2 linked regions of the Lonchura striata genome follow. The protein of the gene in region 1 purifies or fractionates together with the protein of each later gene. This does not show direct contact. Links are inferred from orthologs where the notes say so. Each region holds a gene or a part of one and is shown in the gene's direction. Other genes may lie near its edges. The genes, in order: ESS2 and protein FRA10AC1 homolog.

What was found.
Region 2: the proteins of ESS2 (region 1) and protein FRA10AC1 homolog purify together in Homo sapiens (co-immunoprecipitation; 3 studies listed by BioGRID and IntAct, counting the BioPlex papers as one, with this or other methods). This does not show direct contact. The link is inferred for Lonchura striata from reciprocal best matches to the Homo sapiens genes ESS2 and FRA10AC1.

What each region holds. Positions count from the first base shown.
Region 1 is NC_134620.1:6,787,851-6,802,761, reverse strand, and holds the start of ESS2 (splicing factor ESS-2 homolog), read left to right. Parts: upstream 1-7,190; 5' UTR 7,191-7,231; coding exon 7,232-7,378; intron 7,379-7,663; coding exon 7,664-7,832; intron 7,833-8,728; coding exon 8,729-8,824; intron 8,825-9,139; coding exon 9,140-9,306; intron 9,307-10,070; coding exon 10,071-10,188; intron 10,189-10,642; coding exon 10,643-10,776; intron 10,777-10,888; coding exon 10,889-10,991; intron 10,992-11,959; coding exon 11,960-12,069; intron 12,070-12,966; coding exon 12,967-13,082; intron 13,083-13,649; coding exon 13,650-13,935; 3' UTR 13,936-14,911. Other genes in the region: GSC2 (homeobox protein goosecoid-2), read left to right, coding at 3,816-4,125, 4,889-5,136, 5,671-5,772. UniProt on the Homo sapiens protein: May be involved in pre-mRNA splicing.
Region 2 is NC_134609.1:16,813,473-16,828,449, forward strand, and holds the start of protein FRA10AC1 homolog, read left to right. Parts: upstream 1-9,117; 5' UTR 9,118-9,212; coding exon 9,213-9,242; intron 9,243-9,601; exon of another isoform or gene 9,602-9,659; intron 9,660-13,379; coding exon 13,380-13,456; intron 13,457-14,977. UniProt on the Homo sapiens protein: May be involved in pre-mRNA splicing.

The sequences.
Region 1 (14,911 bases):
CTTCCTTCCTTCCCTCACCGTGCCGGGACCCTTGCCGGCTGCAAGGCAGGAGTTAAAGAGCATCATCATCCCGAGCCGTTTCCGTAGTCGGGGAAAAGCGAGATAACCCAGAACCTCCGAAAACCGTGTGCTGCCTGCCGAGCACAGAGGGATTTGGATAGCATGAGGCGGTGTAAGATCTCTGAAATGCCCACTGGAATGCTTCAGCGTGAAGCATTTGTCTGATTCCATCGTGGTTCCTTGCAGAAGAGGAGGTTTGGTACCCCACGGTCCTGCTCCACCACGGACACCATCTCTGACAGCCAGCACCACTATTGGTAGCATCCCTACTAGAAATATCACTAATAACACTACTACCCAGTGGAGAGATTCCACTTCTTCCTGTGGAATGAAATGGCCTTTGAGGAGAGAGACAGGTTTATTGTAATTATCATCTAATCAAATGAGTTTATTAGAATTCTTAATCTTAGTTGGTGCAGGGTTGAACAATTTTAATTGGCACAATTTTAAGATCATCTTTAAATGCCTCCTTCAATCCAAACCACCCAATGATTTTATGACTTCTGTTTTTTTATTAAACATAGTTTTAACACCTGACTAGCACATCGCACTGAATTTCAGCTACACAGAAAATGCTTCTTGTTTGTGATCTTGAAGGATTATTTTTACCCTGGGTTCTTTCTCACAGTGGTTACGGAGTGAGTGATGGGCATCTGCTGCTTGGATGATCACAGGCAGCCCAGGAAAACACAGCTGGCATGCACCAGTGGCTCCACTGGGTGGCCAGGAGGACATTGAGGTGTGGGTCCTGGGCTGAGCACTTCCCTTGGGGATGGAAAGCCCCCAGATTGTACTTTTTTGCAACACTTGTCAGCAGCCTCCATCTCTGTTCTGCTTTAGGAATCAGCCTGGAAGCCCAAATCCAGCCAGGGGTCCAGGTTTGCCCTGACTGCTGTCAATATCAATGAGTGAAAGAGTGCAAGATTTGTTCCAGGTAAGGCAGAGGAGTGCAGGAGCATGGTTACATCCTTCAGATCTGATCCTCCTTTTCCTCAGCATCACAGCCACCCCACACTGGTGATAGCGAGTGGGGAGAAGCACTGCCAAACGAGAGCTCCCACAGGTACCAGCACACAGGCAGGGGCAGGGCAGAGGAGGGTGCTGCCACACTGTAGGGTTTCCAGTGTTCCCATCACCTTGTGCTGCCTGCAGAAGGGAGGGGCAGAGGAGGGAAAGGGGGATTTTTTCTTGTTTCACCATAGGAAGGATTTTCAAACCCTATAAATTCACTTTTGACAAGTGAACAGCTAAAGCAGATTAACCTTTTTGCTAATCCTCTATAATGGCTTTGGAATCTCCTTAACCAATAAGAAAATTATAAGAACCTGTTTCTTTTCTTTTTATCTATATCTATATTGTCCTCTCTTGTCTGCATGTTTTTTCTTTCTTGTTTTATTTTCCTTTCCTTTTCTAATATGAAATAGCCCAGCGATCCTATCTCCCAGAGGCTCAGTAAACAGTACATCAGAAATCCCTTTCCTTTATTCCTCTCTGGTAACAGGGTGCAGAGAAGTGTCTGCCGATTGGGATTTGATTACCAGCAGCTATCAAAAGTCTCTTTGTACAATCTGGGTCCTAAATCCCATAATTCTTTGATAAAAGAAGTATTACCAGTCCATTTTCTGTAGTGAAAGGTATGGGAGGAATGAAAGAAAGCAATCAGTGGAGATCCTAATAGGCTAAGTGCATGTGTGGTGGGAAGGCAGGGCTGGGACAGGATGCCCAGGGAAAGGCATCCTTTGTTAAGGATGGGGAAGGAGAATTAATCCTCTTCAGGCATATGAACAGAGCTGGTCAGATCCTCCACCTGCCCTATGGCCCCTCTGGACCAGCACAGAGTGGGGAGCAGAACCTGGCCCCACATCCACTCCTTGTGCCAGCGTTTGGGTACATGCATAAAAACTGGGAGCTTTTGTGATCTCTGGAATTAGGGCATCCCCAGTGCCTCTCTGGAGCACTGACACCTTGGCAGGGCAGCAGTGAACGTGTCCAGACCGAACAGCCACAAAGGTGTCTTCATCTCAAAAGGTAAAGATTCGCAGAGCTCAGTTATAATCCAAGTTACACCACTGGAACAGCTGAAGCAGAGGCAAATAAAGGGATGGAAGGAAAAGCAGCAGTTTGGTTTTAGGTGAGTCACAAGTAGAACAGCTATGGACGTCTCTTCCCAGCACTAAGGGACCCGCAGGTGAGGAAGGGCAGGCAGTGAGCAGGGATGAGAAGAGAAAAGGGAGCTGAGAGAGGCTCTCCTGGGGACTGGCTGTAAGTTTTACAGGATGCTGGGGACATTGCTGGGCTGTCCAGCATGAGGATCTTTGGTGTGCAGTGGTTTCACAGCACCACCCGTGTGTCTCCTTGGTGTACCATGGGTGGGACTGCAAGGAAACACCAGGTGTGAGTGCTCCCCATCTGAGCTCCTGAGGCCTTGCTTCTCGCCTTGGCTTAACCACACTGAGAGAAAGGGAACTTGGGTTTAAACTTTGCTAAGCAACCTTATCTTAACCACACCTTCTCTATTTTATTCCCAGCTATTCATGTCAGTTAAAAACACAGGGTCCAATATGTTCTCTCCTCCTGTGGATTGCAGCTTCCAGACCTTGCTGTTTGCCCAGGGGAGGGGGCAAAGCCAGGCCTCCCTTCCTGTCCTGAATCTTGGCCATGGCCTCTCCCCAGTTTCTTTGGCTGGGCAGGAGCCAGGAATTGAACGGACTTTGGGAAAGCCTGGCTGTGGCACTGAATCCACACTCGTGCCTGGATGGCTGTGGGACCTCACTGAGAGCACACAGAGGCAGCAGCAGCAACAATCCCCCCCTTCCCTTCCCCACACAGAGCATGGCTCAGCTGCATGGGAGGCGGTTACATGCCACTAAGCTGCTGTGCAGAGCTGCTGCAAGCAGCTCGTAATCTAATTTATTAAGGTCTTTGAATCCTTACAAAGAGTATGTTGGATACATGCAAAGCATCTGCATTATTACAATGATTAGGGCAGCAGACATGGGGGAAAGGGGAAGGAGGGAAAATACGATTTCTCTGCTTTCAGCAGAAAATGAATCGACTTTCACAGAGAATTCTGGCAAAGCCAAAGGCTGTGTTGTCATTAAAAATGATTTTTTATTAAGCTGAACTCTCTCTTCTCTCATATTGTATGATATGACAGCTCTCTTTTGATGGGAAAGCTTTCATTTGGCCAGAGAAAGGGATAATTTGCTTCTTTTAAGGAGTTAATCCTCTGGTCCATTTCCGGGCTGGGAACAGCTATCCTCCCCCTTCCTTGGATAGGAGGCTGCTGCACAATGGAGATCATAACCACCTCAAATCTACACCCGAGATGGAGAAATCAGATTTCCTTCTCCAGTCATTTTTATGGGATTAGCTAAATCTTAGATCCACACTAACCCTTCACAAAGCTGCCAAGATTAGTTAGAATTTATTTTATTTGCAGGGGGGTTTTACGGTTTTCTTTCCAAAGGGATTATATCTCTCTCTATATATATATATTTAGAGTGGCTTCAGTCATAACACAGCTAGGTCAGAGGGAGGAAAAGAGTGTGTGTGTATAAAATAAAAACTCAGCTGTAAGCATGACAGCCACTTGAAATGCCAAGACAAAGCTGTGGTTCTGGATGGCTTTGCCAGTCCATTTTAAAAGCCACATGAGCTGTCCTTTCCCTAGCAAAACCCCACTAGGGAGCCAGTGAAGGGAGAGCACAGCCCCCAGCTGGGCTGCCTGCTTCCCCAGCCGCTGCTGGCACAGGATGTCTTCAGAGCCAGCGCCAGGGGCTGACGCCGGCAGGAGAGGCCTGAAGAAGCCACGTCCGTTCAGCATCGAGGACATCCTCTCCAGCCCCGTGGAGAAGAGCCCCCAGGTCTTGGTGCCGCTGTGCCTACGGAGCATCTTGGACTGCACACCCAAGCGGCTCTGCGAGCTGGAGACCATCCCAGCCAGCTCCCTGCAGGAGGAAGAGGAGGAGGAAGAGGAGGAAGAGCTGGAAGGGGCAGGCTGCAGCTGCTGCTGCTGTTCTCACACGAGTGCCCGTTCCCAGCAGGACCTGCCAGCTTGGCTGGGTGAGTGTTGGGTTTGGTTCAGGTGTGGGGCTTGCAGAGGGGCTGGTGCCAGTGCTGTGGGCAGGGGAAAACCTGGGTGTTAAGTGGCAATATGGCATCTGGCCACAGCGGTCTTGGGCCTGAGGCCCAGCAATCTGAGCTGTTCTCAGCAGGGCTCCTAAGAGTGCTGCTAGCATTTGAAAAGAAGAGGGTGCCGATTATTACTGGATATTTCTGGTTAGTGTGAAACTCTTGAGAGAATGATACTTCGAGGGGTTCAAGCTCTTTGTGGAGAGTGGAGCCCCATGTGCAGAGCTGTGCCTGTGCTTCCTGACAACACCAGCCCTGGGGAACCTCACTTACCCTTTAAGGAAAAGGGTTTTGGCTATGTCAAGCAAAATTACTGTGGAAAATAAAAAGTAGCAAACCCTTAAAAATGCAGTTCAAGAGCATCCTGAAGGTTCAGAATTCCCTTGTGTCAGGGCTGAAACACAGATCTTTGCCGGGCTGTGAGTTTGCAGTTATTTTCTGGATCTGACCATAGTGCAACTGGTAAGTGAACAAAGAAAACCCAGCCAGTGCTCACCACCTGCATCCTTCTCCATGTCATGCCCCAAACTCTTCTCCCACGTGCATGGTGACCACTCAGCTTGCCACCCACTCCAGGTGACTGGCTGCCTCCTTCCAATCTGTAGCAGGGATGCAACAGGTGCCTGAGCTGCCTTGAGCGTGGCGAGTGTTTGAGCCCCACACCTCTAACACTGCTGTCCCTGTCCCCTCGCAGATGCCCGCTTCCCCTGGCCCCTGCGGCTCTTCCACCCGGCAGTCAGGGTCTGTAGGAGCTCCCAGGAGAAGCCAAGGGAGCTGCAGACCTTCCAGCAGATCCAGCGCCGCACGCGCCGGCACCGCACCATATTCACCGAGGAGCAGCTGCAGGCTCTGGAGACACTTTTCCACCAGAACCAGTACCCAGACGTGGTCACCCGCGAGCACCTGGCAAACCGCATCCACCTGAAGGAGGAGCGGGTGGAGGTGAGGTTCTGCCACTTGCTGAGGGCAGGATTCTTGTGTTCCTGCAGTCCCCAGGAACACAGACTGGGGCATTGTGCTGTCTTTTTTTGGGGGCCTGCACACTTATGGTCTCATTTTAAAATCCATCTTGTGCATTTGACAAAAGAGAGTTTAAGTCTGGTGAGCAATGGATGAATATAAACCATTTCAGCTGGGCTAATTTGTACTGGCATCCAGTCCCACAGACTCACATGATGCCTCTCTCCCAGAATCACCTGTCACACAGAGACATGCCCAGCTCTGCTGCTCATCCCCTGCACCCAAGTCTGTATTCCTTACATAAGTGACCTGCGTGACTTCTGAATTTGTCATGGGGGGTCCCAACTCCTTTGTGCCCCTCACACATACCCAAGAAAGATTGCAGCAGAGGGACTGATTACATTTTGTATCAAGCCTTTCTATTACAGTACCTCACAGCCCCGGAGGGCCACTGCCTGTCCCCCTCCCAGTAACACCTGACATGCAAAAGCCCTTTTCTTGTTTTGCACTTTCTAGGTTTGGTTTAAAAATCGTCGGGCGAAGTGGCGGCATCAGAAGAGGGCGACTGCCTCTGCACTGACCCTCCAGCCCAAGCAGCCCCCCAAGGAGAGCTGTTAGTGCTCACAGGCTGCAGAGAACACCAAGAGCACCACTGCCGTAGCTGACAGGCTCAGGGGGGTAACCCGAGGGGGCTAATGCAGCAAAAAGGGAACCTCTGTGGTTCACACAGGAGGAGGACGGGTAAAAGCACACTTTTTGGCACTTTCACATGCCTCTTCCAAACCTAGTTCACGTGGCAAATAACTCAGCAGGCAGGATGTGCAGGGGACAGAGCTGTACTAGTGTTAGATGTGTGTGCTTTAAGAGAAGGAGAAACTCCCCTTCGTGTCTTTACTCTGTGCACGTAGTATTTGTGCTTGTTTTATTGATGTAGATTTGCAAAATATCCTGCAAATGAATGTGTCCTGTTTGCAGCACCTCAGTGGCATCTAGAGTTGCTTTTGGGGTTGAACTTGCTGGACAAGCGATTTGTTTCATAACAAAGAAACACGGGTTTCTTCCCATAGCCTGGGGAGAGGTGATGAACGTGCTGTGCTGAGAGGACTGGCACAGGCAGCCTTCGCCTTCAGCCCTGCTGCCAGCCAGTCCCTGTCACAGCGAGCCGTGTCCGTGTTCCTGGCGGGGCCAAGGAGAGGCCAGGAGCTGGAAAGCGGCGGGATCAATAAAAGTGCCCTGCCACCCCGCCCAGCAGCCAGCCGGGGTCCGCTCCGCGGGCCCGGGGGGTTTCTGAGCAGGTCTGAAGAGACCGTGGGGGCGTTGAGGGGATCCGCCCGGCGCCCTTCCCTTGTCTTAACCCGGTTCTCATCCCGTGTGTATCCCCGTTGCCAACTCAGCTCCCATCCCCTGTGTATCCCGGCTCCCATCCCGTGTGTATCCCGGTTCCTATCCGGCTCCCACCCCGGTTCCCATCCTGTGTGCATCCCGGCTCCCATCCCGGTTCCCATTCCCGTGTGCATCCCGGCTCCCACCCCGGCTCCCATCCCGGTTCCCATTCCCGTGTGCATCCCGGCTCCCATCCCGGTTCCCATTCCCGTGTGCATCCCGGTTCCCATCCCGGTTCCCATTCCCGTGTGCATCCCGGCTCCCACCCCGGCTCCCATCCCGGTTCCCATTCCCGTGTGTATACCGGCTCCCACCCCGGTTCCCATCCCGGTTCCCATTCCCGTGTGTATCCCGGTTCCCATTCCCGTGTGCATCCCGGCTCCCATCCCGGTTCCCATTCCCGTGTGCATCCCGGCTCCCACCCCGGCTCCCATCCCGGTTCCCATCCCGTGTGTATCCCGGTTCCTATCCCAGCTCCCACCCCGGTTCCCATCCCGGTTCCCATTCCCGTGTGTATCCCGGCTCCCAGCCCGGCTCCCATCCCGCCGCAGTCCCGCCCGGGACCGGCCGGGTCCTCCGCAGCGGCAGGGGGCGCGCGCGGCCCCGCCGCTGCCGGAGGGGCGCGCACTGCGGTGCCGCGGCGCGGAGCTGTGACGTCACGGCCGGGCGCGGTCCCGGCGGCGGTTCCGACGCCATGGAGGCGATACCGGTGCCCCCGGCCTCTCCCGCCGCTCTGGTGCCGGCTCCCGCCGCGGGCCCCGTCGCCGTGACGGGGAAGGAAGTGGTGTCGCCAGCTGCGCGGCACTCGAAGAAGATCCTGGATGAGGAGGCCTATATCGAGGTAAGACGGCGGCCCGGGACCGAGCCCGGGAGGCTCCGCTCCGCCGGTGCTTGTGCCGAGCGCTGCAACCGCAGCTGCGGGTGGAAATAGCGCCGGGGCCGCCCCTCGGGCTGCCGGCCTGGGGCCCGGGGCCGCCCCTCGGGCTGCCGTCCTGGGGCCTGGGGCCGCCCCTCGGGCTGCCGGCCTGGGGCCCGGGGCCGCCCGTGGCTTTGCGCTGCTGGCCCCGAGCTGAGCCGGTGCTCCAGGTGTCCCAGCGGGGCATTGCAGTTGTCTCTGTCTCTGCAGAGCTTAGAGAAGATCATCCAGCGAGACTTTTTTCCCGATGTGGAGAAGTTGCGAGCACAGAAGGACTATCTGGAGGCTGAGGAAAATGGTGACTTGGAGAAAATGAGACAAATTGCTATCAAGTTTGGCTCTTCATTGAACAAATCGTCGAGGGACACACCTGCACCCTGTAAGAACTGGCTCTGTGGGGCATCAGGGGTGTGTATCTGATATTGCTGCTCTATCTAACTTCGTGCGGACAATGCTTATCTTAAAGATTCAATGTTGATATTGCATGAGAGCTGAGTGTGCCGGTTTGGGCAGTGTCTGGTGGCTCATGCTGAATTTCTCTTTGATGGTGTCTAATAATTCTTTGAGGGAATGGTTTTGGGAAAAACAGCCATTTAAAAAGCATTCCTCATAGGCATCTTTTGCCAAGTTCCTGCGCTCTAGGTTATGTGCTCTCTACTATGAGAAACCCTAAGCTATGTTTTGAATCCTTATTTTAGTTTGTAGTTTTAGGGGCTCTTGTTGCATCTACAGATATTTGAGATTCTCATGTATCAGGGACAGAAGAAGCTCGTGGTTATCAGAGGTTCCCACAGCAGGTATCCAGTGTTCTGTTTTATGTTTTCTTTCACTTTCAGTTTAGGTGTTTCCTAAAGCCCAGCCCCTGGCTGAGCTCTTGCAGTGGGGTTTGAGTAAGGGGCTTTCTTGTGGCAAAGGGCATCACCAGGTGGTGTCCCTTCCTTCCCTGCTGCAGGTGCTGGCCCTGGCCTGGGCTCAGTTTGATCTGCTGCTGCTTTTGTTGGCAAAAGCAGGGTGTAGGGTGACTACACCCTGGGCTGTGGCTCTCCTAGGAATTTCTCCCAGCAGGAGAAAAATGTCTTAGATGAGGCCAAAATCTTGTTTAGAGGTTGAGACAGAATTCAGTAGAACATTTTGGAGCTCTTTTCACAAGTTTTTAATTTAATTTTTGTTCTCTTGATATGCCTTCTGTGACTTACTTGGTACAGCATCCTTAGAGGAAATCCTGTTGTGTGCTCCAGTAACCAGGTGATTTTTTTTTTTTTTTTTTGATGGCAGATGTTACCCCAGCCACATTTGAAACCCCAGAAGTGCATCTAGGTGGCCTTCCAGTGGGAAATAAATCTAAGACTGGTATCAAGACTGCAGAGGAAGGTAGGAAAATTATGTTTCTCCAGCTGAATTCTTCCAAAATTAAGTTGTCTGCCAGCAGCTGGCCATTTGTACATTTCACCTTTAAAATAAATTGCTATAAACACCATGAAAGGGTTTATTGGAAGCTGGTTATATGTGTTCCAAGCCTGATTTATTCCTGCACCACTCTGTGGAGCTGTGTCTTTGGCCAAGCTTGATGGCATTCCTGGTGTGTCTGTGGAAGGCTTGCTGCCAGCAGGGTTAGGAGGTGGATACAGTGCTCCCCTGGAAAGGGAGGCATTAACCTTCCTCAGGCTTCTTCCCTTCTCTTGTTAGGAGAAGCAGAAAAAGATGATAAAGATGCTCTTCCCAGCCTGGACACCTTCTTGGCAAAGCACACGAGTGAGGATAATGCTTCCTTTGAGCAGATCATGGAAGTGGCCAAGGAGAAGGAGAAGGTCAAGCACGCCTGGCTGTACAGCGCGGAGGAGGAGTACACCCGGGTAGGGAATTGCCTCAGCTCTGTCTCTGCTCTTCCAAGGGACACAGCAGGGAAATGCATTTCACTGGCTTTCTGCTAAGGCCCAGCTTCCTGCATCCCATGACTGCTCTTTGCTTCCCTGTGCAGTCCTGCTTTTTCCCCTTCTGTCACACAAGAACAGTGCTTAATTACTGAGGCTTAGTCTCTTCTGAAAGCTTTGAGGCTGCAAAGCACTGCACAGAGTGTAAGTATTGCTGTCCTTGGCAGCCTGTTCTGTCAGCAGCATCACAGTTCCTGCTGTTTGTCCGTCAGCCCCTTATTATTTGCAGTTTGTCTGTCTTATTTCAGTTTTCAGCTTCTGTTATCAGTAATAACCCACACAGCTGCTGAAGCACAGAACTGCAAGAGCACGGCTGGCTGTGCTGCCTTCCTCAGCTACCTGCAGGGGAGGTCCAAGTGCTGTTCTGGGCCTGCTTTTTCAGTCTTTAACCATCAGCAGTGAGCAGCTGGGACATTGATGGCTGTGGGATGCAGTGCCTTTTCATGAAGTTTGGCACTGACATGTGGGTGTTTGCTGCTGTTGTTTTGAGGGAGTGTTATTTTTTTTTATCCCAATTGTCCCTCAGACTGTTACATACCTTATGCAAGGTGTCCTAGGGCAGGTGGCTGAGCTTTTGACTGAGCTCTCCAAGTTGTGTCTGCCTGAATAAAAGATTGCAGGAGGCTGCTTCAGAATTTTTTTTTTTTCACCTTTTAAAACTTTTTTTTTTTCCATCACCCTTTCAGCGACAAAATGAAAACCTGGCACTTCCTTCAGCCGAGCAGCAGGCTCTGGAGAATGTGAAAGCTGGGCTGGATACCTGGGAATACACAGCTCGGAACACCCTCATGTATTATCCTACAGGTGAGGCATTGGTTCCAGGTGGGTTGGCTCCAAACAGTGCTTAAAGCATTTCTGTACATGACTGAGCAGCACTTACAGGTCATGCTGTGCTTTTTCTTCTGTAAACTTTTTTTTAAACAATGTCTTTTTTTCCCTGTTTTTCTTGGCCTCTGATTCCAAAGTTTGATCATGTTCTATTTGCCATTGAAAAGCTCATCTGTATTACAGAAATACCTGTTTTCAGCAGCCAAAGCTCTTTCCTGGTCTGTCTTCTTTATGATCACTTGTTGTCATCTTCATTTGTTTGCTTCTGCTCAAAGAATTCTCTTTGGACTTGTCAGTCTGTTTGTTCCTATAGAAAAATATATATTTTTGTAAAAGTAGTTTTCTTTTTTGGCTGTAAATGTACAATTGATAACTTCTGTGAAGCAGTGAAGTAAAGAGCTCTTTTTTAAAAGTCACTTTGCTTTTCAAGGTGTACCTGATGATAGTGAAGTTTTTAAGAAGCCCAGGGAAGTTGTGCATCGAAACACCCGTTTTGTGAAGGACCCTTTTAGCCAAGCTGTGAGCAAATCACAGCTCCAACAAGCTGCAGCCCTCAATGCTCAGGTTGGATAATTTTACTTCTGACTCAAATCGTGTGGTTCATCCCCCAGAACTGTGTGTGTGTGCTGGATGCAGCTGACTCTCACCTTTCTCCACATTGTCTTTTGTATTTCAGTACAAACAGGGCAAAGTGGGACCCGATGGGAAAGAACTGATACCCCAAGAGTCTCCAAAAGTGAATGGGTATGGATTTGTGGCTACCCCGTCTCCTGCCCCAGGTAAGAGGATTTTCTTATTTCTTCTGCTTTAAGAGGACTATTACTGCACTTTCTTTGATGCTGTCTTCAACACTAGGGTGTCATTACAGGGTTAGATGAGGAGGTGAAACCTCGTGCTGTGTATGCCAGCAGGATGCAGGGCTTAAATCCTAGTCCAATACACTGGTAGGAGAAGTTACCCTGCATCAAGAGACTCTGAAGTTGCTGTGCTATTGCTCAGGAATCATCTAGCTGTGGGCTACTTTCAGTTGGAACAAACTGAACATTTTAATTCGAGTTGAAACATATACTGAATTTGTACCTGTTCTGCACCTGCCCGTTGTTTCTCTGTGCTTTTTGTGGTTACCTCAACGCCTGAACATGCTGGGGCTTTCCCTCTGGGAAACCTGTAGGTGGCGTTTGGAGCACCTCCTTTCTCCATCGTAAATGCCTTTTCCAAGCCCTGGACAGCAGGATTTTCCAGCCAGAGACTTAATCGGGCTCTTAGGATCCTTTCTACACCTGTAAGAAAAGGTGCAGTCACTGTTTGGTACAGGCTGCCCCCTGAGGTGATTGGAGTGTACATTTGGCTATTACATGTCCTTAAATCTTCTGCCTGTTTTCTTACTTTTAAAGAGTTTCCTATGTTCAAGGAATTTTTATTTAGCAGCAGAGGGGACAACTAGTACTGTAGAGGGAAAAATGAAAGTATAACTAATCAAAAGCTTAGCAAATGGAAAAATGAAGACATGGAAAGGGTGGTGCTTGGTTGTTGTAACTGGGAGGGTGACACAGCTACAGGCAATCCCTTTTAATGGGAACCACATGTTCCCACTGGCTGTGATCTGTGATTTCCTCTGCAGTGTAGGGGCTCCTTTGTTGATTAATTTGCTGCATTTCTTAATTTGCTTCTCTCTCCCTTCTTTTTTTTTGTGATGAATGAATAACAAACGTCTTGCATGGGCATAACTTGCTGAATTTGTTTTCAGGTGTCAGTGAGTCACCTTTTATGACATGGGGTGAAATTGAAAGCACCCCTTTGCGTCTGGAAGGGTCAGAAAGACCATATGTGGACAGAACACCTGGCCCAGCTTTCAAGGTATTTCATGTTAGCACAACATTCTTTTCTGGGGGGGAAGAACTAAGAAGGGAAAGGCAAGTGAGTAAGGAATAGATTAACATGGAGTGTGACACATCTCTGGGTGGTGTTCCCTGTCCTTGAAACTAATAATCTAGCTTGTGCTTGGAGGGTGGAGGTGAGCATGGATCCACATGAAATCTTCTTGGTGGAGCTACCTGAGGTTGGAACACAGGTAGGAACTGCTGGCAGGACAATGAGATTCTGCATTTGGTGGTGGGCCCAGACAGAAGGGCTTTCAGAGGAAACTGAAGAGATGCTCAATTTTTCTGATTTTAATGTGTGAATAGGTGGAAATTTTAGCATTTCCCTCTGTCTTTATCTTCTGGCTGTTGCAGCCTGAGGCAGATGTATCAGTTGAGAGTAGAAAAGACACTCTGGTTTTGCTAATGGCACCTAACCCTGCATGCTACTTGTCTCCTGCTGGTATCTTTGAATGTGAGATGTCTGAGACTCTTAGTTTAAGAAAGGTGTAATTTGCTGTATGTGCCTCTGTTTTGTTAGACTCCAAAGGCCTTGACTGGTTCTCCTGCTGTTTAAGAATGTCTCTGTATGCCTGAGAGCAGGCTGGCTACAGGCCAGGCAAGACACAGGTGACATTGTTTGTCTAGGAGAAACAGCAGGAGGAAATGCCAGAGGTAATGGCTGCTTCCTTGACCGGACTCGTTTTACAATTTTTGTTACTTGCTAAGGCAGGTTGAAGGTCTCTGTGTCCTCTCTGGCCTTTATGCAGCAGCAAAGAGGTGTGGGCTGACCCCACTTGTCCCTGTACATTGGAATCCAGCTGTGAAGGTGCTTTGACTCATTTTTCATCACTCTTGAGTGCCTTGGCAAGTGAACTGTGTGATGCATTTATAGATCCTGGAGCCCGGACGCCGTGAGAGGTTAGGACTCAAGATGGCCAATGAAGTAGCAGCTAAAAACCGAGCAAAGAAGCAGGAGGCACTTCGAAAAGTGACAGAAAACCTGGCCAGGTGAGACTTTTGTTTTGACAGCAGACCTGGGGGTGGCTATTATCTGATGAGATGTAAATCAGCACCTGTAGAAAGGGAGGAATGATGGTAAGGAAGGATACTGGAATCAGGAAGAGGTGCATTTGGACTGAAAGTTACTAAAATTTAAAAATTTAGAAATTAAAAAAACTTAATTCCTGAGGGAAAGTGGCTGGTGGACGTCCCTGACACTCTTTGTCAGCATTACTGCTCTGCCCTACAGCCACCCAGCGATGCCTCTGGATCAGTGCCTTGCCTTATTGCAAAGAAGAGACATGATAAGAGTTGCCTGGGGGGTCACAGGAAGGACAGAATGGGCTCAAAGGAAAAGTCAGGCCATGCCACTCAGGTTTGGGAAGGATGCAGGAGGTTTTTTTGTCACTTGTTTCTCTAGAGAGACAGGCTGCATTTACCTGCAGGCAGAATGACTTCTGCAGGCAGTGGGTCTTCTCTGTGGGGGGAAGTCACGTAGGAAGGCAGTATTACTTTTCCTAATAAAGGCAGATTTTTTTACTGTAAAATCTCTTAAAGCTTTTTATTCTGTTTCAGCCTTACTCCAAAAGGACTAAGCCCAGCAATGTCACCAGCTTTGCAAAGACTTGTAAACAGGACTGCAAGTAAATACACCGACAAAGCCCTGCGAGCCAGCTACACTCCCTCCCCAGCCCACACAGGAACTCCTGGTTACAAGACCCCGGCCAGTGGGCCTCAAACCCCCCAGAGCACCCCACAGTCTAGGACAGTATCTCACACACCAGTATCTCAGGACACTACATCCATCACGGACAATTTGCTGCAGCTTCCCAAAAGAAGAAAGGCATCGGATTTCTTCTGAACATTCCAGTCACCACCAAGATGATAGTGCTGTGCTCAGTGAACTGCAGACTGGTTACTGGAAACTGGGGAAATGGAGATAATTTCTGAAAGATATATTTCTGTTTTTAAGAGCGCTGTGCATTTAAATTAATTTCTGTTCAGCTGCATCTGTTTCTTAAGTGGGGTAAGCCTTTTTTAAAGGCTGAACTTGACTGGGGTCCAGCTTGTCAAACTTGTTTGTAGTTTGCAGAAGAGGGGACACAACCATGTGCATACTGAGGCATGACACAGAATTTTAGAGAGGTTCTCTTTAACTTGAATTTAAACTGATGCAGTTCACAAGTTTGACTAACTTTGTGATCTTGTTAAAACCAGTGTTCCTTAAGAGGACTCCATTTCCTCTTCCTCTGCTTACACTTTGCAGTGTGGGATTTACCTTGCTGCTTTTGCTCAGACTTTTCTTCTGAAGGGTTTTGGCTTGCCCTGTTCTGTAGCTGGCAGAGGGAAGGGATCAGATTTGTTTTGTAGCTGCTCTGTGTGTGACTCCAGAGAGTTGATGATCATGATGCAGGGGCCAGAGACAGTCCTGTGTCATCCACCAGGATGACAGTACCATTCTGAAGCACAGAAATTATACTTCTGATAGCCACACTGGGGCTTTTGTTTGGTGTTTTTCTCCCGTTCTTTGAAACTTTTGGCTTTAGTTTTCATAATTGGCCAAAAAAAGGAAAAGCAATTTTAACCACACGTGCTGTGGTTGCTGCATATGAGCTGACGTTTGTGTGTGGGATGAGCCCTTGTGTGATGTGATCCAGCTTGGAGAAGCACTCACTGTGCACTCTTTAGAAGGAAGCAGGTGTAGCCAGGTGTTTCCACTTCTTGCACCCCACCTGAGTACAAGACAGCATGTGTAACACTTGCCAGCGTTGGCATTTGTTATAGTCAGGTGATGTTTTTCTGAGGGAACATCCATGGAAAGTCTTACCCAGCAACTT
Region 2 (14,977 bases), on another chromosome or scaffold:
AAATTATTCCTAATTATCCCTTTTCTAAGACAATAATCCAAATACTATACAGCTGACTTTCATTTTGACACCAATCACTTGTAGGCATCTGTAAGTTTCCACTGTTGCTGCCCTTGTGATTAAGGCAAAGAGTCATTAAAATTGGAGGGCCTAATTCCCAGCCTCAATATAACACATCAGTAAGAAGTAATAAGCTCCTTCATGAAGCAACATAGCTCCCCAGCTAAATAAATGGCACACAGTACTGATTAAACAAAGGCACACGTGGCCTTTTTTCCCAAGATTTTTTTTTTTTTTGGAAGCAAATGGATGAATATATAAAAGACAAGGACAAAAAAACCCCAAAAAAACCAAAAATAGGTTTGGGAACTCAGGAGAACAGTTAAAATCACAGAAACTGAGATGTTGGCTCCTAGGTATGGAAAGGGAGACCTGAGAAATTCACTAGAGAATTTCTTGGAGCAAGTAATGGCTGAAAAGAGCTTGGAACTGCAAATAGTCTCCTGCTGTTCAATTTTCCCTTCACTCAGGGAAATGAAGGCTATACATTCGTTGCAAATAAAGACCGGATGAAAGATAACCAATTCCATTAACAATTTATTTTCTGAAACAGAACAATTGGAAATAGTGACTTTAGATAGCAGCTCAGGTCACAAATAGTAATAATGCTCTACTCTGTTTCTGACACCTCTGCTTCCCCCTCAGGGAGGCAGATATCCCTTCATATGCACATTATATATATATATATACATACATATTAAGATCTCTCTCAAGAGCTATATATAGCTTCTATTCACAGGCAAGCACCACAACCACTTATTCATTCTTTTCATGCTTTACCTGCTGCTTTCAAGGCTGCCCTGATGCTAAAAATAGCTTCGCATATTAGAGGAGGGTTGCTATAGATTCAGAATGGGTGATGTTCCAAAGACAGCAAAATCCCTCCTTGCTGAGGATCCCTGGGGATGCATGTGATGGGCATCTCTGACCAGGGCTGTGATGCTCTTTCATAAAGACTCTTAGGCTCCAAGGATGGGGTGCAACAATTTGTGTTGTTCTTAAGGCTGGACTGAACTGCAAATCAATACAAATCATGAATGTCATCGTAAGTTTAAGGCTTTGGTTTTCATACTGTAGTGTTAGATCACAGTACCTTAATATATTAATGAATATACTATTCATATACTAACTTCATTTTAACTGGGAGAACAATTTAGTATTCTTTTGTATGGGCATATTTTTCTGCAGGTATTGATGCCTTCCAGTAAGAAAATAGCAAAATGCTTCACTAGTCTTCTTACTTTTTCTAGTTCTTAACATTTGTGGCTGGATTATGACTATATCTAAGATAAATGAGGTAGTCAGAATAGTATTTTCCTTTAGTTAACAGACTCATGTTATAGAAACCTGCCAAATACTCTGTTAAGGCTGAGGTTCAAATAAAAGTTTTACAGGGGAAGAGTGGCATGGATTTACTAAACCAAGATTGATAAAAAGTATTAAACCAGATCCTAATATAAATCTAAATAACACAATCCATCTTTTATGAGCAGTATATTTAAGGACAGTGTAATGAAAACTTGACAGAATGTTTTATGAAATGCTACAGGAAATGTTTTTCATTCAAATCTCACTTCACATCCTGACCCTTATCTTCCATGTGGTTTTGCTTCCATTCAAGAAAGGCAGTCATCTAGATACCTAACTGTTAACATTTTGACTTACACTTGAAAACTGAATGTGGTTTCAGCAAGTAGCAGGATCTTCCCCAGGGTACAAGCTGGAGTATTTCTTTTTACTTGCAGTAGATGACTTTCCTCAGTGTTTTTTTGAGTCTGAAATTTTTACTTCTAGAGTTGTGGATATTGCCCAGCTCAGTGTTGCTGGCTATAAATACCATAACTTGATATTTGTAACTAAGTTAGACTAATGGTTGCCATTTACGATATTTATCTTCCCCATTCCACTTAGATGCCATGGAATGAATAGTGTCCTGGAAATACTTTCAATAGAAAGGTTGATAGTATTTCAGTACTTCATGTCTTAATGATATTGGTGATTACATAGCATTAAACTGTATTTAATTTGAAATATAATCCCTGTTATTTCCAAACCCTGAAGATCAGTAGTATACTTTTACTAATAAAAGCTCACTTCTAGCAGAATGGCTATGGTATTATTAATTAAATTACGTCTCACAGCAGTACTGTATAAGCATGCTCATTAAAAACTGTGAAATAGGAACTTTTAACTGATTCATCCTACTTCAGTGCTCAGAACAGCTTTTTTATATCCTGTATCCTTCAGTTTTCACTGAAGGATCAGTTACTGATCACCTCAACTGGGTACTAACAGCCTCAACATTCAGCTACTGTACTACTTTACTCTGTAATCCCACTGAAATAGGAAGATAAAGTGAGGGTCAATTCTGTTATCATTACATTATTATTGTGCTCTTATACCTTAGTTTTTTAAAATCTGACTGTGAGATTCCAAACAACTGACTGCAGCACTGTATATTGCAAATAAGCTCTGATTTTTTTTCATTGCTTAAGGACAACCAGTGGAAAACACTGTGATGAACTCATCTTACCAGCTCCACAGTACAGTTTCATGACTGGCTTTCTGGATTCCTGAGTTGAGAGCTCAACTTCTAAGTAAAGATGAAACATTTCTCTAAAATTAACAGGTATTTTCTGAACATGTTTGCAGGAATGAGACTGTACATCTCTATTAGCATTACATCTTTGACTTCAAGGCACCTTTCTTTTCCAGGTTACATAGAATGCTGGGTGCACAAATAGTGCTTAACTGCTTGCATGATTCAGATGACAGTGACTTGTCTGTCACCTTTTTATATAGAAGATTCCAGATTCCAAATATTCCTTGTCAATGATTTGTACCTTTCCTCAATTCTCATAAGCGAATATGATGAATATATATACATGGTAGACATTATGCACAGAAATGCATCTCGGGAAAAGAGGGAACATGTATCTTTTTCACTATGGTTTAAAAATGCAATGGACTTTAACTTTGCTCATGTATTCTTCTTTTCCCCTTCTAAAAAATTTAGTGGGAAACAATGTACTTTAAAGAAAATAAGTCATTGCTTGTCAGTTGTTTTCTTATTTATTTCCACATTACTAGATTTTCATTCTCTTATTATTTTTTATGATTTTTTCATCTTAATATAATAACTCTGATATCAAACTGGAAAAACAAATTTGCCTTTCTATTTATGTAATTGAATGCCATCAGTCACTTTCCACCAAAGCAGATCTAGTCATAAAAGTAAGATTAGGCATTCTTTGCTCTCTTAGGAAATAGTTCATACTTCAGGGAATTTAAGCATAATGAACTTCTAAAATCTCCTCAAATGAAAACAGGAACATGGTGGAGGAGTCAGTTTCTGTATTCCACTTACTTAAGTGAAGGTTGATAAAACTAAGAAGTAGTATTTTGTACATACTGATAATTACTTTAAATTAAATTCCTGATAGGCTGAAGTCGCTACTCAAGTTTATGCATGCTTATATGCATGTAGTGAGCTTTGTTCTGAGCAGAGTTGCCAGACTAAGCTGTGGAGACAAAATTCACCTGCCACAAAACAAATGTGGAACTAGCACTGATGATTAAAGACACTAGACAAGAGCCTACATAATATCTTTAGGAGATTTATTTAGTAAAATTCTGTACATTTTGCAAAAATAAGCCTAAACTTTAAAGATAATTCTGGGAGTTGAATCTAAGAATTACTGTTTTATTAAAGTCTGATTTATTATTTCCATAATTGAATCAGTTAGTTTTTACATTATCATAATGCTATTATTTACACTATACATCTTATCAAGGACTTGCAGGAAACTTTATTTTAATGAAGTTTTTTGAAGTACACAGAAATTTTAGGAACAAGGTTGATGCTTTGAGCGTTCCCTTAATTACAACATAATTAATTAATTAAGCAATCTGATTTTCAAGATAATATTATAAGATTCTTACATAACTCTGTAGTCACAGGCAATAAAACTAAAACAGATATTAGGAATTTAAACAGTTATAGTTCCTTTATAATGTATCTGTGATTCTTTAGAATGGAAGATTCTTTAGAGTGGAAGTAATGCTACCATCAAATAAACTGTGGCTCAGGATTTCAACTACTTCAGTCCATGATAATGGAGACTAAGGCTGCTCTTCTGTCAACAGTAATAAAAAAACATCTTGTGAATTGTGTATGAAGTTGAGAGGCCTTATATGCATCATAGGAGGTGGAGCTAAGGGAATAAATCAGGTTATTTAGGCTGTATTTTCTAACATTTTGGCCTAAACTGGGATTCTGTTTACCAATTTGATCAGCTGAGAATAGGGATGCAATTTTCACATTTTTGACTTCTTGGGAGAAGAAAATTCAACAGGAACCTTCAACTTTGTTTTTAATAAGAGCCTTTGATATTTGTTTTTATCCTAACAGCAGAACAAGCTTGATCTGAATTCAGGATGTGCACTGTTGTCTTCTTCAGCTTTCCATGACTGTTTATGAAACAAATTTCCAAACTTCAGTGTCAACATAAGTGCTCTGTAGACAGACAGTAGAACCAGCACCTTCAGTGCACAAGGCAGTAAGTGGTTGTGGAGACTGGCAGTGATTTGTTCACCCTAGAGAAGCCAGGAATAACAAAGGTCCATGGGTCAAATTCTATCTCGTATATCCTTCTAAAATGCCATCATCTGTTGGATCTACCTTTAGATATGCACATTTTCAAAATTTCTGTTTTCCAAATTGCTAATCATATTGGAAGTCTTCATGTTCTATAAAATTTGTCTCCACACAATGTATGTGACATTGATATCCAATGGTGTTAAACAGAAACAATTAAGTGGAAAATGTTCACAGATAACTGGAATTTAGGAAATTCAATACTCTTATAATAGGATTAGCTATTGTATTATTAGCTCTATTTTATCCTCTTAACAGGTGAAATGTAATACAATGATTGTGGCTACTTTTACAAAGGTCTGGGATTTTAGAACAAGGAAGGAAACTGATGATCAATCAGATACCATTTTTTCAAAGGCACTTTTCTAACAATGCTTATGCACTGAAATGCTAATTGCAACTTCAAAATATCATAAAACTGCACATCTTCTCTTCAAATGATGGACAAAGCATGGGCTTGTCTATGATTATTTTTTGTAACTGACCCTATATTGGAAATGTCTTTAAATACAGTTCCTTTCTTGAGAAAATTACTTTATCAGCCAAACAAATAAAACTGCATTTGCCTTTTAGCACACCAACATTGACACCTAGTGGCTAGTTAAGATCCATGTTTAATATTTCCTGTATGACAAAAAAATGTGGAACACACCATTTATTGATTTTGACAAACCAGGTATGCACTGCCTGCTATCTCCACATAGCCTCTAGATTATTAAAGAATATAATTAATGACTAGTTTGGAGTTATCAGTACCTGTGATGGGAACTGATGAGTGTGAGGCCCTGCCCCTCATGTACAGCCCCACTGGTTTTCCCAGACTGTCAGGAAGTCTTAAGCTTGGGAATCAGCTGCCTGATTTTAGTGTATACCTTCCACAGGGCTCGTTGGGAGGCACAGTACATCCCTGAAATTGTAAACTGGTACAGCTATATGAAAAAGAGCTACAGTTACTGAATGTGATGTTACTGGCATATGTGAATGTCCATTTTTAGCTTTACTTGTTTTTTCTACAAATTACTAGGGGGTTTCAAATAGGAGGAGATAAAAATCAGGAACATGACAGATGCCAAAGTACTGTTTGTACAATGAAGACACAAAAATAAATTATTTGGCAACTTACTTCATAGACATGTAGGACATAGGAAGGTGGCAGTATCAAAAGAACTGACTTAATGGAGAAAGAGAAAAGATTAAACAGGACAAATACAAGTTTTACTAGCATTCTTGATGGTTCCACATTACTGTCTCATAATCAAACTCAAATGTAGTCTGCAGCAACAGCTCACAATGGTAGTAGTTGTCAGTGACTGCCCTGCCCTTGCTCTCCATACCAGTGGTAGCTGCCTCTTCGAGCCTGCTGGCAAAACCTTCTGATTTGCTTCATTAAAAATTGGAACAATTTTTTAATTGGCTAACCAAACTAATTTTGATTCAACAGATCAGAGGCTGTTGAGTTTAAACAACTTTACCAGAAGATCTTAGGAGGCAATCACCTTATGCAGAAAGGCGGATGTGTTTCTTCCTGGCTAAATATTGTTAAGGAGTAAACACCTACTGTTTGTATTTCTTAAAAATACATAGAGAAATCTAAGCCTGAAAAAGAGGAACAAAATATAAGAGTTCTCCAATATGTAACCTATATAGAAAGGTTGAAGTACCTTCTCAGGCTGCAAAAAGGGAAAACTGTGGGGATATATGTCTTCCAGGATTTAAATGATGATCACTTCTTGCTTTCTGTACAAACTAGTGCAGGACACTAAGAAATTAACTCGAGTAGCAACAAATAAGATTTTTTCTTAGATAGTAAGAAAAACTCCTTATACCTAAGAGGTTAATAGATTAAGGTGTTAAGCTGTGAAAGCTCCTATACTAGAACCTTTTAGGAACAGCTCAATACATATGTCAGGTATACTTTGAATTCTGCATCTCTATGATGTATGAACCATGTCTGACTTAAACCTTTTGGATACACCAGGTCTCATATTTTATTTAGCTCATTCTAGATTTAGGGCAGAATGGAAGTTAAAGCTACAGTGGTATTTTCTCCTTTGTGGACCACAAAGTTTAGGGCTACTGTAATTTAAGACTATTGTTTCACATTACTGCTGACCTGATCTAAGAGAGCTGCTGCTGAAAGGGCAGCCCCTGTTTCTCACTCCCCACTTCCCTCCTGTCCCATCCCACACATTTTATTTGCCCCACCAGGGTTGCTCATCCAGATAGCACATCAGGACAGTCAAAGAACCTAGAGTGGCAGAAAATTAAATTCTGCAGTTCAGCAGGAGTGGTCAGATGAGCATCAGGGCGAGTTCAAGAAGAATGCTCTCTTCAGTAGCAGCCTGACTTGTAAAGATTAGCATAGATTGACTTCCTGTAAAGGAAAGCTGTGCTCCTAAGGTTTGGTTGTACAGCCATCAAAATCCCACTTAAAACCTCCTGCCCTGTAAAGAGTTATGCCTATCTCGTCTGTTCTTTTTCCTGTATCTTCCAGTCCTGTGGGACTCATACGACAGCAGTGCCTTTTTGGTGTCAAAACATACTGTTGCTAGAATTAAACCACGGAGATACTCCTATTGGAGCAACGTATAATGCATATACCAATGGCTAAGGGCATATTCAGTTTCAACTTCCAGTTTATTTAGGAGGCCATTTCTGAACCCATTCCCCAGCTGTAACTTACTGTAGCCACATATAAAATGCAGTCAGGTGATGTTCTAAAGCAACACAGACATCAGAAAAGCATAGCATAGCAAGATGAAATTATCTAGCTGCTATTCTCAGAAAAGCTGTTTATAACATAACTTCAGCATCTACAGCAGCTGCTATAGCTGGACTCACTGCAGAATTTTCCTGTCCCAGAAACTGTATTTTTTCTATATGCAGGCTTTGTGGCCACAGCACAATGCCAAGAGATTTCAGAATTATAAATCTTTCCTCTACCTTTCCCACTCTTCTTCAAAGTGCATAATCAATGATATGTTGGCCCAGTTTCCAGAATCATGTCAAAATTCATTCACACTAAAGCAGTCTGTCATTTCCATAAGACAGGAACAACAAAAAGATGCTTGCTATTACAGCTTTGAGGGTATACATTATTTATTTTGATAGATTTAAATTATTAATTAGGATAATTCCATTTTTGCAACAGAGTCTCTGCCCTTTAGAGGAAATGGGCCACATTCAGTAGGACTTCAGCAGAATACTGCATACACTCAAATATGTACAGTGCCACTCAGTTCCTTTCCGTGGGACACTTTAGCATCATCTTTGCATACGTTCACAGCAATAATGACATAACAAGTAACACAAACACTAGGTCAGGAGAAAAAAAAATCTGAAAACAGAGATTTACTAGCCAAGGTAAGGTGATACACTGTCAGCTATGGTGTGTGATTGTCTTACTGCAGAAAAGCAGCTAGCTACAAATTACATTTTACAATTTGCACATTACAAGGGGAGCAGAAATATTTGAATTTTTAATAATTCCCTGTATTAAGTGTGTCTGTGGTTTAACTATCCAGGAATCAGTAACACAACTGGAAACACAGTCCAGAAGAAAGTACCTGTGATGAACTACAGCATTTCAGACCTCAGCAGTTCAGGTTGTCTTTGATGGGAAACTATCAATTCATTGACAGCTAATTGTTGTATCTATCTGATGACTTAATGCCGAAGATCGGTGCTTCCCAGCTATTTTATAGCAAATATTTCTGGCTTATAAAACTCCTTTTTATGATGCAACCCACAAGCTCCCAACTCTTATCGCCCAGTTGCCGTCGGTCCTCACAGGGAAACTGAGTCACACACTGCCTTTCGTTCTTCTAACTGCGAGATGCGACTGAAAAGAAGAGAAGCCGCTGGCACGGGCAGAAATCGGTGCTACAGATCGCCGTGCCGAGGCCACGGTCGCGGTCTGCGCCGCGCCGAGGGCAGCGCGCACGTCCCGGGCGCGCCTGGCAGCTGCTGCGCCCGCAGAGCGCCTGCCGCGGCCTCCCGCCCGCAGCGGTCCCCGAACAGCGACCCCCGCCTCCCGATCCCCCCCAGGGAGCCTTTCCGCCGAGCCCCGGCACCGCAGCGGGGTCTACGCCCGTGCCCCCTCCGCAGGGACTGCCTGCCCGAGAGCGCCGCGGACGGGGCAGGGGCGACCCGGGCCGGGGAGAGGGGCGCACTCGGGCCTCTCTGAGCCCCTGCGGCGGAGTCCTACCTTCCCAGAGGCGGAGACCGCGGCAGCCGGGGCCGCTGACCGGGTTCCCGGGCAGGGAGACTCCCCTCGCCCCTAAACATGATCAGCGGCTTTCCCCTCCCCTCCCCTCCCGCGCCGGCTCGCCCTCCCCCGCGCCCCGCGGCCCCGCGCCGCCCGCCCGCGGCGGAGGGAGGGCGGAGGGAGGCAGGGAGCCCGCGGCGCGGCCCTGCTCCGCCTCTGCCCGGCGGCCCGGCAGCGGCCCGCACTGCCGCGCCGGGGCCGGGCGGCCGAGGCGGCCCTGCCGCGGCCATGGAGCCCGACCAGCTGCGCCTTTCCGCCGTGAGTGGAGCTGGGAGGGAGGGAGGGAAGGGCGCCCGGCGGAGGCGGGCGGGGACAGGCCTGGTGGAGGCCGCGGCCGCCATGGCCGGGGGCCAGGGCGAGGAGAGGCGCCCGGCCGTGCCCGTGGGGAAAGGGCCGAGCCGCCCTCCCCGGGCGGCGGACGGGCAGCCGGGGGTCGTGCCTGTGCCCCGCTGCGGCGGCGGAGGAAGGGCCAGGCGGGCCGGGACAGCGCCGGGCCACTGCCGGACAGCGAGCGAGCAAGAACGGCTGCGGAAGCTGCGTCCGACTGGCCGGTGCTCGTTTCTCCGTGGGCCTCCACAGAGCTCTAATCCTCGATGTCGTCGTCTGCTGTTACCTACCTTTTACTCCTACTTTTAATTTCATAGCTGTAATAAAGGGGCAGTATCTTGCGAGTGTCTTTTCTCTTTGTTAGGGCCGCTCGCTGTACAGTATATGCAGGCACTCCTTGTAATAGGTCTTACAAGGAAGAATCGATTTGGAGCTAGTTGCTTATTCTCGGTTTTTTTTCCCCAAGTAGGGGTGGCAGACCTTCACAGACAACATCAAGGTGGGAAAAGCATGTTGCAGTGAATCATTCTGACTTTCCACACAGCATCATTTATCCATCAAGGATGGCTCCTCAAATTCTCTTACAGATCCTGTGCTTCCTTCATACCCTCCCCAAATAGTTTGCACTGTAACGAGCACTCGGGTTTGTTCTGGGTCACATCTGGGCCGTGAGCAGACACACTCACAGACCTGCGTGCTGGGCAGATAAAGGGAAGGATGGCTTGTGAGGGCCGTGACAAGACTGGGCCCGAGGTCAGGAGCCACAAGTTGGGAGTATTTTACAGAATTGTTTTGCCTTTTTTTCTTGTTCTGTTGTTTCATGTTCAGTCACGTTGTGGTTAGGAGTGGACACATTTCACCAGTGTGTGTTTACTCCATTGGAGAGGCTTAAAGGAGGTGCCTTCTCTGGATCCAAGTACCTGCTGTAAATGCAGTGCTGGGTAGTTTGTGGTGTCCTGGATTGACATCAAGAGTTGGTATCTCAGTCTGACATCAGTTGTGTACAACGTTCATGCATTTACTGTGTTTTGCGTGGGTTTTAGGAGCCAAGAGTTTAGTGGACTCTGTTCTGTCTCCAGTTGTTTCATCATTAAATAATCCAAGATATTTGGATTACTTAAGTGTGAGCTAAATATACCCCAAAGCATATTTGTGCTTGTTTTAATTTTGTGGTTTCAGTTTATTTTATTGTTTGGGAATAAAAAATTCAAAGTTGGAGCAACAGCAAAATACACTGTGTCATTTAGCTTTCAGGTTTGTGTTTTGAGAAAAGACTTGGTATTTGTATTAGTAATTAACTAGAAGCATTCTGAGTCTGACAAATTCCATCAAACCAAAGTTTATATTGAAGGGTTTATTAAATAGTGAAAGTAGTTATTTTAAGTTTTGTTGCTGATTATGCACATCCATGTCTATATCTGATAGGTTAGGCCTACAGTTAAACATATTTTTCGTATCTGGGGTTGTAGGTGTCGGTTTGCATTGTCCTTCCAAAATGGCAAGGTTCATTTATAGATGAGGTTCTTTGGAGATGGAAGTCCATGAAATGAAGTACGTATGTTTTACCAAGAGTCAGGTCATCTTGGAATCATCCTAAGGTGTCAGGTTAGAAACCATTCAGTCCCAGTGTCTGTGAGTGTTGTCCAGCACTGCTGGAGCTGCTGCTGTCAGGCCCAGCACCAATGCAGGACCTGTCTGTCCTGCTATTGCCTCAACAGAGGAGTGATCCACAAGTGTCAGGACAGCAGTCATGGGCTGGGTCCTTTTTCACTCTGAATTTATCTGTGCGGTATTACAGTGATTCAAAGGAATGTCTGAAGCTGTGAAGAGCTTTCCTGTTGGAAAAGCAGCCTAGTCCTTAGCCATACCTGCCCTTATATTGACAGTCAGCTTTTCAAAAGGCAGTCATCAACATCTGAAAACCCTACAATATGACTGTGTTGGAGTAGTTTTTCTTGCATCTTTTTTTCTTTTATTTGAATCATTCCTGGGCTCACTTGAGAGCTGGTTAGTGAGGATGTCTGTTTCTTTCCTGGGGTATATAATCCAAACGCAACTGCTTTGTGAGAATCCCCTTTCATTTGAGCTTTCTTGCCTGGTTCAGTACTTCATCTGCCTAGGGCTTTCATGCTCATGGTGTTGGCTGGGACTTCCCTTTTGAGTGTGAAGAAAGCTCTGGATGTTCATTTGGGAAGCATTACTAATGCCATTTAAAACATTCCCAGATTAGCATGATATTTTTTAAACTTAGAGGCCAAGTATAAATATATTTGCTGCATACTCATAGAGTGTTCAGACTTTAGTTCTAAAGACCTTACAAGCTTCATTAACAGAAGTAGTGACAAGCTAGCTATACTAGAACCACCTATCTATGAGATTACATTGTTGTTGCTTTTTTGCCCGTGTATGAGGATGGTTTACAGCAGACATCTGCTGCACTTATTTGGTTTGGGGTTTTGTTTGGGGGAGTTGTTTGCCTTTTCGGTATGTTTCTGTTTTGTTTGTAATGGACAATTTTTATGTCTCGTGGGAAATAGAAAATAGTTCAGAAAAAGTTCTGATTTGCTTTTGTTGAAATATATATGTGTAGTAGAGTTATGTGTTATTCAGAAGCATCCAGAAGAGTGGGAGGAACATTATGATATTTGTTTATTATTATTAATAATAATAATTGTAAAGGCTTTTAAAAAACTTAAAAAGAGTCCTTCATTGTCAGTTTGAAAAAATAGTTTTACTTACTGTGCACAGTACAAACCAGTTGTAGGTGTCAGTAGAGGATACAGCTGACTCTTCAGCATAGCATTTCTGCAAGTCATTTGCATCAAGAGAAGGCACCTCATCAAAATCATCCTGTGGAGTTGTGTCTTTTTTTCAGATTTTGTTTTTCTCAGCTTTTTGGCTGAGGAGGAGTATAACTGTAGGCAATGTAAGAATCAGCTGAATCGAGTGCGCTTGCTTTCTAACCCATTGACTTCTCTTATCCACAGTTTGACTTACCAAGACACTTTGGGAGCGTGTGTGGAACCTTCCCACGTGCAGCTCTATTAATAACCATCCCTCTTGTTTTTACCTCAGTTGTGTAAAAGCTTGTTTGGAGTTGGTGCTGGTTTATGTGGTGGCCAGCTCTGGCTGCTCTCTCCGTGTGCTGTCCCTTCAGCTGGCTGGTGTAGGTTGTGGAGGCTCAGATGAACTGTAAGGAAACTTATCTGGGTTAAATAATATTTTTTTTTGCATAGGTTCCTTTGTAACTGAGTTGTTTGGTCTGGTTCATGTGTACTTTCACAACTGTAACTGAGCACCTGGTAGGAAGGGTACTGAGAGTAGGAGTGCGGGAGAGGAGATGGGACCTACTTAAGCTGTTGCATCACCTGAAGGAATTGAACATGGAACTGTGCCTTGAGAAATGGAAGTGATACATCGGGACTTGATCATTTGAAAGCGTTATAATATGGATATTTTGGTTTTCTTATATGCCTTAATTTAACATTGTAGTTCCAAAATGTGTGGAACAGAAGGTTTCATTTTCTGGTAGGAATGTTGTGCTGATGAGGTGATACACTTTTGCAGGCATTTTTTTTTTTGTATTTTATTTATTGTTTCAATCAGATTTCCAGCTACCAGTATAAGATCTAATGATATAAAATGCTGCCCAAGAAACTTTTATTCCCATTTTCCTTCATTTATAATGTGGACATATCACTTGCTGTCCTCCAGCCCCCAGGGAAGATATTCACCTTTGTCTTACATAAGGAATGTTGTTTAGAAAATAAAAAGCTAAGGTATTTATCATATTTTTAGTTTGCTGCATCTATGTGAAGATTAAATATGCATATAAATTATTTCTAAAGTGATCTATTTTACAAAGTGATCTTTCTTGGCCCTGTATTATCTGGAATATACTCTGCATTGTCTGTGGAATTTTGTTTGGTTCACACATGTGAGAATGTGCACTAGTTCACTTGCTCTCTGTCTTTCTGTCTTTATTTATGCTGATGGGCACTACTGATTTGTAATTATGCCATATCCATATTACATTAGCAGATATATTGACTGGTCTATTATTTTCAGGCACATGGCCATGGAGGCTATGATTCTGATTTTAGTGATGAGGAGAGTGGAGAGAAGTCTCTGCAAAAGACTAAAAGGTAATGTAGTACAGAATTAACACTTTACATTATGTATTTTGTACAAATGGCCTCTTAGTGTGCATAGAAGATGATGCTGTTGCATGTAAGTTCTGGTGTTGAAATGGTTTTTAAAAAATCAATCACTTTGATTTCTGCATCTCCTCATCTCAAGTTTGCCAAAGCTTGTCATCTCCAGAGGCTGCTGATTAAGAGCTGTTCTGCCAACTCCATCTGGTGTATATTTGCCCCTCAGTTCTTGGAGCAGAGTGTTTTGTTTTTCCAAGCATTAGTATCCACTGCTGGGTTTTGGCAGTGCTGTTCACACCACTGCGATCCATCAGGACAAATGGAACTGCTAGGAGAGCAAGGCAAAAAAGGCCAAGTGTAGCAGGCTTTGTAGATATAAAACACATAGAGATATAAAGTGAAGAACTTATGCTACTTCTTTATTATTTAATTTGTGAAGAGACCTGGGTATTGGTAAATTGTGTTGTGATCAATCCTTGAAACGTACCTGCACATCTCTTATTTGAGATTATGACCTTGGCCAGTACTTTCAGTGGTTTGCAGTTAGTGACCTGGAATTTTGTAATCTGATGTGACTACATTGTAAAGATTTTTATTTGTTTTTGTATTTATTTTGCTTTTGTACTGTAGTTCCTTGACACTTTCTGCACCATACTGAATATTTGGCCAACATTTTGCATATACTTTTCTTAACTTTTTTTCTGTCTCTCCCTTGCTTTTTTATTGGACTTTATTTAAGAAGACTTTCTGGAAACTTTCCTAAGATTCTTGCATATTTTTCCTTTATAGAAGAATTGAAAGAATGGATTTTGTAGTGTCTGATTGCATTCTGGGAGAAAAAAAAATAATGTTTTAATCTTTGGAATAATAGCATGCATTAAGACATTTCATTTATTTTATAAATATAGCTGTTTTCCATTAAAATAGGGACTGATTTTATTCAGATCTCATTTTCTTTAGATGCCATTGCATATTCCACCATTCCACTTTGAGGTGCAATATTAAGTAACCATCAGGAGTCTTTCAAAAATACCATCATTATCCTTGTTCTGGCACATAACTGTTGATTCCCAGTAGGGCTCTTATGTGGGTTCCTTTTCTTGCTCTGTCATTGTATTTATTTTCACTTTAAGGAAAATAATAGTCTTAAATTCTCTCCAAATTACTTTTTTATAGACCCTTCTTATGGGAATTTTGTGTTTACAAATCCTTTTGAGTAAATGATACTTTAAATTTCTAGAGTCCTATATTCCATAGCTAGAAACAAATTTCCTGGCTTGCTTTCTTCAGGTTTCTGATTGCCATGCTTTCTGCCTGCTGAAAATTATGGGAAAAAATCTTTTTTTGCACCTCAGTTTATGAATGAAATTAAATAAATATACATTTTACTAGCTAAAATGTATATCTTTAACTTTTTATTACTTTGTTGAACTCTAAAAGTAATTTTAGCTGCCTACTGACAAGTACAGTTCATTACATGGTAATTGACTTCTAAATTTGTGATTCTTGTGA